Callithrix jacchus: one gene and its partners. The protein of the gene in region 1 binds, or shares a complex with, the protein of each later gene. Links are inferred from orthologs where the notes say so. Each region holds a gene or a part of one and is shown in the gene's direction. Other genes may lie near its edges.

Region 1 (3,745 bases):
ACTGATGAATGATTTGGCACGAATTCATCTTATGGTTCTGTTATTCTCTCTAACACACTATGATATACCCCGTTTTCCAGTTGTTTGCGTAGAATTGCAATTTCTTGTTTCTACACTCTGTAATGACCCTTGGGTGTGCACCTGATTCCCTCCCCCCCCAGCCCAATTAGTCACCAGTTTTCCCGTCTCTCCTTTTCTATTTAGTCATGTAACATATTTACACTTGGTCAAACAAATAACCACTGCAGTGGAAATGAATCAAAATAGTTTTTATGGAAAGCTGAAGAATGAAATAATTTTGGAAAACTATGCCCTAACAAAACCTTAAATATTGTTTCTGCCAGCTTTTAAATGCTTTCTCTCCGTGAAAACTGAGTCCGCACTGGTACAAGTGGGCCATTGCCTAAGATTAAGAAGTCTTGCTTTTCAAAATGTTACTAAATGATTAATAACAATGCAAATATTTAAAACACTAGTAACAATGCAAACGTTTAAAACATTGTAAAATGATAGACACCAGTTTTTAAGAGAACAAAGTATGGAACGTTTCTACTTTAGGATTAGACTGTTTTACATTATTATTGGTTACATTTATTCAATATAATGTTTATAATATTTTTGTTTTGTTTCACATTTCTTTGAATGTATATCAAGAGGGTTAACTGTGTACATGCAGCTCTGAAATAGGATGAAAGGTGTCATGCAGATTTATGAAGATACAAGCTAACCCATAGCTGTCGCTGTTCTGGCACCAAGAGTTAAATTTTCCTGTGGAAGTTGGAGCAGAAAACACCTCTGTACATACTCGAGAGAGGACATCTAAGTGCACATAATAAGAAAAATGCTCCTTTGGGAATACTTGGAGTTTTCCTTGACAAGCCTAATACGTGTTTAAGGTGTCTTCAGAAAGAGTTATGTAAACATTCTCTTTGGAACGAGTGATAAACATTTATTAAGTACCTGCTGTGTACAAAGCACAGGGCTCTCTGACCGGGGCTAACTTTCATTTCAAATCTTTACTAATTCTGCAGTTGGAAGAAGTTGTGGGAATTACGCCGATGGCCCGAAATCAAGGCAGAGGCAAACGTTCTGAGAATTACATAACTCCTGGGAGAGACCGTGCTTTTGCACAGATTGCCTAAATATTTTCTTTCTCCGTCGGCTCCTTGTAACCTCTGAGGCCAACAGACAACTTTGTTCTCCGGCCCTTCTCCCTCTTTTGTCTGCTCGTCAGACTCGTTTTCCACCTTTGTATCGTTCCTTTTAGACGTGAAAACAAACACGCGAACGCCCGGTTGGCAAGGAGACAGCGGCCCGGGGGGAAAGTGCAGGTTCCGGCCGCCCCACGCCGCCGCGCTCCGGACCGCCGCCGAGCCGCCCCGGCCCTGGCCCCAGCCTTAGTCCCAGCCCGGCTGGGCCCCGCGAGGCTGAGCCGGGGCGGGCGGGCGGCGGCGACTGCAGCCCGGGGACGAGTCCAGTCCGCGTTTTGCGAGTGCGCGGGAGTAATGCGAGCGAAGTGGATAATAGTTGCTGGAGCTCGCCCGCTTCTTCTCATGCCATGCTGGGCCCGATAGGCTCAGCCAGTCGTGTATTTACCCATATCCGGGTTAGAGAGGAAAAGAGAAAAGTTTCATTTAAACCTGAACTAAAAACTTTCACCATGAAAGCACACAGCAGGAGCAGGCCCAGAGCGTAAGGCGTGCCCGGCCCGGCGCTCCGGCGGGGCCTGAGGAGGGGGAGGGGGTCGCGGCTTCCCGGCGGGCCGCGTGGATGCGCACAGGAGGGGCCGCGGCCTGAAAAGTGGGGGTTATTGTCTCCCCCCACCCCCCGCCCGGCCTCGCCACGCCGCGGCGATCATGGCCGCGCGGGCAGCAGCGGCGGCGGCGGCGGCGGCGGCGCGGGCGCGGGCGCGGGCAGGCAGCGGCGAGCGGCGGGCGCCCCCCGGGCCGCGGCCGGCGCCCGGGGCCCGGGACCTGGAGGCGGGGGCGCGCGGCGCGGCGGCGGCGGCGGCACCGGGACCCATGCCGGGGGGCGGCGGCGACAGCGGCGGCGGCCTGAACAGTGTGCACCACCACCCCCTGCTCCCCCGTCACGAACTCAACATGGCCCATAATGCGGGCACCGCGGCCGCCGCCGCCGGCACCCACAGCGCCAAGAGCGGCGGCTCCGAGGCGGCTCTCAAGGAGGGTGGAAGCGCCGCCGCGCTGTCCTCCTCCTCCTCCGCGGCGGCGGCGGCGTCCTCTTCCTCCTCGTCGGGCCCGGGCTCGGCCATGGAGACGGGGCTGCTCCCCAACCACAAACTGAAAACCGTTGGCGAAGCCCCCGCCGCGCCGCCCCACCAGCAGCACCACCACCACCACCATGCCCACCACCATCACCACCATGCCCACCACCTCCACCACCACCACGCACTACAGCAGCAGCTAAACCAGTTCCAGCAGCAGCAGCAGCAGCAACAGCAGCAGCAGCAGCAGCAACATCCCATTTCCAACAACAACAGCCTGGGCGGCGCGGGCGGCGGCGCGCCTCAGCCCGGCCCCGACATGGAGCAGCCGCAACATGGAGGCGCCAAGGACAGTGCCGCGGGCGGCCAGGCCGACCCCCCGGGCCCGCCGCTGCTGAGCAAGCCGGGCGACGAGGACGACGCGCCGCCCAAGATGGGGGAGCCGGCGGGCGGCCGCTACGAGCACCCGGGCGTGGGCGCCCTGGGCGCGCAGCAGCCGCCGGTCGCCGTGCCCGGGGGCGGCGGCGGCCCGGCGGCCGTCCCGGAGTTTAATAATTACTATGGCAGCGCTGCCCCTGCGAGCGGCGGCCCCGGCGGCCGCGCTGGGCCTTGCTTTGATCAACATGGCGGACAACAAAGCCCCGGGATGGGGATGATGCACTCCGCCTCCGCCGCCGCCGGGGCCCCCGGCAGCATGGACCCCCTGCAGAACTCCCACGAAGGGTACCCCAACAGCCAGTGCAACCATTATCCGGGCTACAGCCGGCCCGGCGCGGGCGGCGGCGGCGGCGGCGGCGGAGGAGGAGGAGGCAGCGGAGGAGGAGGAGGAGGAGGAGGAGCAGGAGCAGGAGCAGGAGGAGCAGGAGCGGGAGCTGTGGCGGCGGCGGCCGCGGCGGCGGCAGCAGCAGCAGGAGGCGGCGGCGGCGGCGGCTATGGGGGCTCGTCCGCGGGGTACGGGGTACTGAGCTCCCCCCGGCAGCAGGGCGGCGGCATGATGATGGGCCCCGGGGGCGGCGGGGCCGCGAGCCTCAGCAAGGCGGCCGCCGGCTCGGCGGCGGGGGGCTTCCAGCGCTTCGCCGGGCAGAACCAGCACCCGTCGGGGGCCACCCCGACCCTCAACCAGCTGCTCACCTCGCCCAGCCCCATGATGCGGAGCTACGGCGGCAGCTACCCCGAGTACAGCAGCCCCAGCGCGCCGCCGCCGCCGCCGTCGCAGCCCCAGTCCCAGGCGGCGGCGGGGGCGGCGGCGGGCGGCCAGCAGGCGGCCGCGGGCATGGGCTTGGGCAAGGACATGGGCGCCCAGTACGCCGCTGCCAGCCCGGCCTGGGCGGCCGCGCAACAAAGGAGTCACCCGGCGATGAGTCCCGGCACCCCCGGACCGACCATGGGCAGATCCCAGGTAACCCCCGCGCCGGCCGGGCCTGCTTCCGCCCGGCGGCCTCGCCGCGCCGCGAGCCTGAGTTTCTTTCTTTGCCGCGTACTTTTCCCCGTCTTCCCGCGGGGGTGGCGGGGGCGGCGGGG
Region 2 (3,645 bases), on another chromosome or scaffold:
CTCCTGGGAGCTGCGGGTAGAGGGGAAGCTCCTGGATGATGTACGTCCCGGCGCAGGTCTCTCCAGGTGTCCTAGGGTGGGCCTGGGCTGCACTGAGAACAGAACTAGGTGTCTGCACTAAGGGCTAGAGAGTCAGGCCGGTCCAGGGCAGGGCAGGGCAGGGCAGGGCAGGCCTAGAAACATTCGGGTGCAGAGGATTTCATCTAAGCCCGCTGCCCTGTTTGCTGCCAACTTGGCCTTCTTCTGCCCCCAGTCCCTTTTCTGCACCCACGGTCCCTGTTTCTCTCCCACAGCCCAGCAAACAGAAGCGGAAGTTCTCTTCTTTCTTCAAGAGTTTGGTCATTGAGCTGGACAAAGATCTTTATGGCCCTGATAACCACCTCGTTGAGGTGAGACCAAGATCCCCTCTGCCCTTGAACTGCCACCCTCCCACAGGCCAGAATCCCTGAAGAACCAGCCCAGATTTGGATCACGGACCACCCTAGAGTCCTGGGCCCCACCGCTCCAGATGGGCCTTTGGGTGACCCAGCTCTTCTCTCCTGGACAGTGGCATCGGACACCCACAACCCAGGAGACGGACGGCTTCCAGGTGAAACGGCCTGGGGACCTGAGTGTGCGCTGCACGCTGCTCCTCATGCTGGACTACCAGGTCTGCATCTGCCATGCTGCCCCGCACATGTCACATGAGGCCCTTAGGGCAGGCCTAGGTCCCAACATGGTCCATCTTGAGAGACCTCCTTCCCCTCCCAACCCTGTCTTTCCCTCAGTCAACGCATCCCCCTAGTCCTGAATGGCCTGGCCCTGGGCTCCTTCCATTCTCTCCCTTTGATCTAACTTTCACAGTCCCCTTTTCCCAGCCTCCCCAGTTCAAACTGGATCCCCGTCTAGCACGGCTGCTGGGGTTGCACACACAGAGCCGCTCAGCCATCGTCCAGGCCCTGTGGCAGTATGTGAAGACCAACAGGCTGCAGGACTCCCATGACAAGGAATACATCAATGGGGACAAGTATTTCCAGCAGGTAACCTCCCTCCTGAACCCAGGGGCCTGGGGATCAGGCAGAGTTCTCCAGCAGGGGAAGTACCTCTACCAAGGTAACTACCACCCTCCCTTCTAGTTTCCTGAGTAGCAGAAGCAGTACAGAGTTATGGTCTTGGAGCCAAGAGACCGACCAGGATTCTAGTTCAGGTCCTACTGTGGATTAGCTCTGTGCTGCAGCCAATCCATTTTAGCCCCCGCCCCCGCCCCCCCAAGTTAGGAAGACCTGGAACCCTACAAAGCCAACTGCTTTCTGGAATGTAATATTCTTGGCACCTGGAGTTTGGATTCCCAGGTTCTAGTCCTGAGTCTGGACTCTGGGTAAGTGACTTGTTTCCTTATCTTTGAAGTGGAGTGATAATACCTGCCCCGTCTACTCTCCTGGGCAGTTAGGGAAGATCAAATTGCTGCAAAAGGGACTTAGCGAAATTCCACCAAAAGAGAGTATTCTTATTAATGCATTTTAAAATAAATACGGCAGATAAACCTGAGGAGTAAAAATAGCAGCTGATATTTATTGGGCACTTACCATGTGCCAGGCATTGTTCCAAGCACTTTATGTGCATTAGCACCGACTTCTCACGACAGCCCTGAGATAGATATTATTTTCACCCCCACTCTAGAGATGAAGACAGAGGCCTGAGGTGTCAGCTTGCTCATGGCTGCATAGTGATGGGAGAGGCAGGACCGATACATAGACTGGCCCAGGGCCTGCACTCTCAACCTGCCCCACACTGACCCACCCCAGGCCCTGTCAGCCGTGCTGGTGGCTCCACCACCAGACCAGCCCACCCCAATCCCATCCCCCTGTGCACTGAGGAATCAGACTCACTCTCAGCTTCTTGAGGCCTTTCTACAACCAAAGGATCTACAACTTCGTGATGATCTCTTCCAAGAGTGATCTCTCCCTGCAACTGTCTTGCTAGATTTTTGATTGTCCCCGGCTGAAGTTTTCTGAGATTCCCCAGCGCCTCACAGCCCTGCTACTGCCCCCTGACCCAATTGTCATCAACCATGTCATCAGGTGAGGTGGCCCCAGCTTGCTTCTCAGACCAGGGAATGATCTCATTCCTGCCTTCCCTGCCCCTCCCTCTCCTCCCACTCCCGTATTTTCTCCCTCCCTGTTGGAGCTGCCCCCACCCCGGGGCCCTAGGGCCTCTATAGGGGCATCATGAACACTGAGGGCTGCACTTCCCTGGCAGTGTGGACCCTTCAGACCAGAAGAAGACGGCATGCTATGACATTGATGTGGAGGTGGAGGAGCCATTAAAGGGGCAGATGAGCAGCTTCCTCCTGTCCACAGCCAACCAGCAGGAGATCAGTGCTCTGGACAGTAAGGTGGGGCCCAAGCCCAGAGCTGGAATGGGACATTAACCCAGAGATGATAAAGCAGACTTTTCTGAGACCAGGGTGTGGTTGCAGATGAGCAGTCTGGGTTAAATAAAAAAAAGGAAAAGAAAAAGAAGCGACCAGAGTGTGGGCCAGTGGGGTACACATGGCCCTTCCATGCTACTTGGAGTTGAACCTTATTCCAAATTTAGTTCTGCCCATCCCCTCCTCCCCTGGGACTTCAGAGGAATCAGGGGCTCTGAGGTGTTGTCTTTCACCAAAGAAAACCCCTCTCCCTCCCCTTCCCACCCACCTCCTTTTCCCCTCCCTCTCCCACATCACCACAGCCAGGTGGAAAGCATCTATCTTTCTACCTGCAGATCCATGAGACGATTGAGTCCATAAATCAGCTCAAGATCCAGAGGGACTTCATGCTAAGCTTCTCCAGAGACCCCAAAGGCTATGTCCAAGATCTGCTCCGCTCCCAGAGCCGGGACCTCAAGGTGAGAGGGAGACTCAGGGAGTACTGGAGTAGAAGACAAGCACATCAGGAGAGACAGTAAATGTACTCCAGGGCAGGTGAGGGGATCTGGAGCTCAGGGCTGACCCCATGCCCCCTCCCAGGTGATGACAGATGTAGCTGGCAACCCTGAAGAGGAGCGCCGGGCTGAGTTCTACCACCAGCCCTGGTCCCAGGAGGCCGTCAGTCGCTACTTCTACTGCAAGGTATGGAGGGTCCCTTGCCCTGAGGCTTCCCCCTCCTCAACTCCAAGAGAAACCTCCCTGTTCAGCTTGTGGGCAGCCCTCTTAGCTCCCCACAGTAAAGCTTCACCACAATGCCTGACCATGCAGCAGACCCCTGCTCCCAGATGCTCTTCCAGGGTGGGCAGTGTCAGGTGGTGGGGTGGTCCTGATCACTCACCAGGAACACTGACACCTGCTCCTGCTCTCACTTCCTCTAAAGATCCAGCAGCGCAGGCAGGAGCTGGAGCAGTCGCTGGTTGTGCGCAACACCTAGGAGCCCGGGAACAAGCAGCACGAAGGACCTTCTGGCCGCACTCAGAGCTCCAGCGCTCCACCCCAGGCTCTGGCATCACTCCTCTGCCGCTTTGGGGTGCGGGGCTGGATTAAAAGTTATTCATCTGACAGCAGCCATGTGGTCATTGGAAACTGGGGAGGCAAGGGGGAGGAAAGGTGGGTGGGGAGGCAGTGGGTCCCTCTGGACAAACTCCCCACACCCTTCCCTTGTATTCTCTTTACTCAATTTTCCCTAGATCTAA
Region 3 (3,745 bases), on another chromosome or scaffold:
AAAAAGGCTGGGCACGGTGGCTCACTCCTGTAATCCCAGCACTTTGGGAGGCCAAGGTCGGCGAATCACGAGGTCAGGAGATCAAGACCATCCTGGCTAACACGGTGAAACCCCGTGTCTACTAAAAATACAAAAAATTAGCACGCGCCTGTAGTCCCAGCTACTTAGGAGGCCGAGACAGGAGAATCACGTGAACACCCAGGAGGCAGAGGTTGCAGTGAGCTGAGATCGCGCCACTGCACTCCAGCCTGGGCGACACAGCAGGAGTCCGTGTCAAAAAAAAAAAGGAAAAAACAGGGAGAGATGGAGACACACTCCTTCTGGTCTCTCTCTCAATCTTCCCTTCCCTCCCTCTCTCAGTGATTCCATTTAGGCCCGGGATTGGCAAAACCGGGCTCACAGCAGCCTGAAGATAGATGACCCTTCTGGGTACTGGAGTTCTCTCCGCAACCCTGCTTTAAAAGGTAAGGGAATAGAGAAGGGACGAGATGGCTCATGCCTATAATTCCAGCACTTTGAGAGGCTGAGGTAGGAGGATTGCTTGAGGCCAGGAGTTAGAGATCAACCTGGGCAACACAGCAAGACCCCATCTCTACAATATATATATATATATATATATATTTTTTTTTTTTTTTTAATTAGCCAGGTGTGCTGGCACCTGCCTGTAATCCCAGCTACTTGGGAGGCTGAAGAAGATCGTTTGAGCTCAGGAGTACGAGACCAGCCTGGGCGAAATAACAAGACCCCATCTCTACCAAAAGAATTAAAATAATAAAACTAAAAAGCAAGGGGGTAAGGACCTCATCAGTCGTCCTACAGAGTCTTGGTCTCCTCCTCTTTCCTGCTCTCTCCTCTCTGCCACGCGTTCCTTAGGAACGGTTAAGTCCCTGCTGGGAGCCCCCTGCCCCATCTCCTCCCGGCCGCCTAACCGGGGACGTCTTTCCCTTTAAAGCAGCGGCCCCCGTCCGGGTCATTGTCTCGCCTGGCAGCCAATCGGCGGCGCCGTTGGGGGCGGGGGATCCGGCTTCCCGATTGGCCGCCTCGCGCCCCGCCCCGCCCGGGATCCCGGGAGCTGTCCGGCCGCCTCGGTGCTGATCCCGCCGCCGCCCACGGGCCGCGAGCCGCGCAGAGGGCACTATGAGCGGCGGCGTCTACGGCGGAGGTGAGCGAGCCTTGGGCCCCGGGCTCCCGCAGCCTTGCGTTCCGAACCCGCGTCATCGATCCGAGCTCTGGGCACCCCGGGGCCTGTCACCTCCGTGCACGAATGGGTCCGGTCCCAGGCTTGGGTCTCCCGCCACTCCTACGCTCGGTCCTCCCTGCACGCCTCGCGCGCACCGGGCCCAACCTCTCTACCTTGCAACCCACCTCCAACTGGTCCCCGGCCCCTTCCTTTCCCGTCTGGAGGGCGACCTGAGCAAGTCCACTGGGCAAGCAGGGACCTGGCGGTGTGATGCCCCTGCCCCCAGTCCCAGGACCTCGGACTCCAGTCCCACCTGCCCCAGACTGGTGATGAAAGTAGTGAGACTGTGGCTCTGCCCTGACTTCCTCTCGGAGCTACCTAGCGGGAGAGAGTTCGGGGGAAGTCCCCTTACAGGCCTGTTTCCCCGCACAGATGAGGTGGGGGCGCTGGTCTTTGACATTGGCTCCTTCTCAGTCCGAGCTGGGTACGCTGGGGAGGACTGCCCCAAGGTGAGCCTTTCAGTCTCCTCCCCAAATTCTAGGGGCTCTGAACCCTTCTTCGGGCTTTCCAGTGACCCAGGGCTCTCCCAGATCGCCCAGAAGCTCTGCTGAGCGGGAATGCGGGAATAAACCCAGGGGCGGGCTGAGGACCCCGCTGTGGGGCTGGACAGGGGCAAGAAGGTGACCCCTCTCCCTGCCGATCCTCCCCCAACCCTTCCCCACCAGGCTGACTTCCCCACCACGGTGGGGCTGCTGGCCGCGGAGGAGGGGGGCGGGCTGGAGCTGGAGGGGGACAAAGAGAAGAAAGGGAAGATCTTTCACATCGACACCAATGCCCTGCACGTGCCTCGGGATGGAGCAGAGGTCATGTCGCCCCTGAAGAATGGCATGAGTAAGGGGCCCTCACCCATCACCTCCTGACACAGACAGGGAGCTCACTCTCCATGATCTGGGACATAGCAGCCCCAACTCCCCAAGGATTCTTCCTTGCAGTCCCAGGGTTCTTCTCACTGCCTCCCTGAGCTGCCTGGTTCCCATCCCAGGGGCCCATCAGGTTTCTGGGAAGGAGGGTGTTCCCCTGGAGCTGGACTCACTGACCCTCCTTTGGACTTGGCCTTCCTCCCTCCTTTTCCTCCTGTCCCTGACCCTTGCCTGCCCTCTTGCGTCTCTGTGCTGCTCTTCTGGCCCCAGTTGAGGATTGGGAGTGCTTCCGAGCCATCCTGGATCACACCTACAGCAAACATGTCAAGTCTGAGCCAAACCTGCACCCAGTGCTCATGTCCGAGGCTCCGGTGAGTGCCTACTCCATACCTCCACGTCCGGCCCTGATCTCCACCGAACCTCATTCCCACCATCCACCTCTCCTCTCCCCTCAAGCCACCACTCTCAGCCACTTGACCTCCCTTTTCCATCTTCACCACTTTCTTTCCTTCCTAGCTGTCTCCAGCCCTCCTGCTCTTTTCCTGCTCTATCTTACTCTGCTGCCCTTCTCCGTCTCCAAGTCCTTTTTAAATTTTTAATCTTTTGAGACAGAGTCTCACTCTGTTGCCCAGGCTGGAGTGCAATCACGAGATCTCAGCCTGTGTCTCCTGGGTTCAAGGAATTATCTTGCCTAAACCTGCCAAGTGGCTGGGATTACTGGCACCCGCCACCATGCCTAATTTTTGTATTTTTACAAAAAATTCGCCAGGTGTGATGGCGGGCGCCGGTAGACATTTTTTAAATGTTCTTACCTGCCTCCTTATATTTCCCCCTGTATAAAAGCAACTGTTTTTCTCCCTTTTGAGCTAATTTTTGGAGTATTTTCTTTCATATCTCTAATATCACACTTAAATTGCAGCCTGTGGAGTTTTTTGTTTTAGGTATTATCTATGAATTTTCCACTTTAGAAAATGGTCGCTTAGCTCTCTTTTCCTCCCCAGCCTATACCACACAGATTTCTCATCACCCACCTTTAAGTACAGTGGCTTCTGTTGTTGTGGTTGTTTGGGGTTGTGTTGTTTGTTTTTGAGACAGGCTCTTACTTTGTCACACAGGCTGGAGTGCAGCAGCACGATTCTGCAGCCTTTACCTCCTCAGCTCAAGTGACCCTCTCATTTCAGCCTCCGGAGAAGCTGGAACTACAGACATGAGCCACCACGCCCAGCTGATTTTTACATTTTTTGTAGAGGCAGGGTTTCACCATGTTGTCCAGGCTGGTCTGGAATTTCTGGGTCTTGAATTCAAGCAACCTGCCTGCCTCAGCCTCCCAAATTGCTGAGATTACAGGTGAGATCCACCGCATCCAGACCAGTTGTATTTTAGACTTTAAAAGAAATCAGGGCCAGGCGCGGTGGCTCAAGCCTGTAATCCCAGCACTTCGGGAGGCCGAGGCGGGTGGATCACGAGGTCAAGAGATCAAGACCATCCTGGTTAACATGGTGAAACCCCATCTCTTCTAAAAATACAAAAAAAAAAAATTAGCTGGGCATGGTGGCACATGCCTGTAATCCCAGCTACTCAGGAGGCTGAGGCAGGAGAATTGCCTGAACCCAGGAGGCAGAGGTTGCGGTGAGCCAAGATTGCA

Evidence for each region.
Region 2: ARID1B (region 1) and SMARCD3 share a complex: the UniProt entries of both Homo sapiens proteins name them as parts of the neuron-specific chromatin remodeling complex. The link is inferred for Callithrix jacchus from reciprocal best matches to the Homo sapiens genes ARID1B and SMARCD3.
Region 3: ARID1B (region 1) and ACTL6B share a complex: the UniProt entries of both Homo sapiens proteins name them as parts of the neuron-specific chromatin remodeling complex. The link is inferred for Callithrix jacchus from reciprocal best matches to the Homo sapiens genes ARID1B and ACTL6B.

What each region holds. Positions count from the first base shown.
Region 1 is NC_133505.1:163,604,685-163,608,429, forward strand, and holds the start of ARID1B (AT-rich interactive domain-containing protein 1B), read left to right. Parts: upstream 1-1,553; 5' UTR 1,554-1,856; coding exon 1,857-3,623; intron 3,624-3,745. UniProt on the Homo sapiens protein: Involved in transcriptional activation and repression of select genes by chromatin remodeling (alteration of DNA-nucleosome topology).
Region 2 is NC_133512.1:96,971,903-96,975,547, forward strand, and holds the end of SMARCD3 (SWI/SNF-related matrix-associated actin-dependent regulator of chromatin subfamily D member 3), read left to right. Parts: coding exon 1-40; intron 41-293; coding exon 294-389; intron 390-547; coding exon 548-649; intron 650-857; coding exon 858-1,019; intron 1,020-1,962; coding exon 1,963-2,060; intron 2,061-2,238; coding exon 2,239-2,374; intron 2,375-2,745; coding exon 2,746-2,868; intron 2,869-2,989; coding exon 2,990-3,091; intron 3,092-3,329; coding exon 3,330-3,383; 3' UTR 3,384-3,513; downstream 3,514-3,645. UniProt on the Homo sapiens protein: Involved in transcriptional activation and repression of select genes by chromatin remodeling (alteration of DNA-nucleosome topology).
Region 3 is NC_133503.1:13,072,027-13,075,771, forward strand, and holds the start of ACTL6B (actin-like protein 6B), read left to right. Parts: upstream 1-1,055; 5' UTR 1,056-1,137; coding exon 1,138-1,162; intron 1,163-1,612; coding exon 1,613-1,689; intron 1,690-1,905; coding exon 1,906-2,071; intron 2,072-2,370; coding exon 2,371-2,471; intron 2,472-3,745. UniProt on the Homo sapiens protein: Involved in transcriptional activation and repression of select genes by chromatin remodeling (alteration of DNA-nucleosome topology).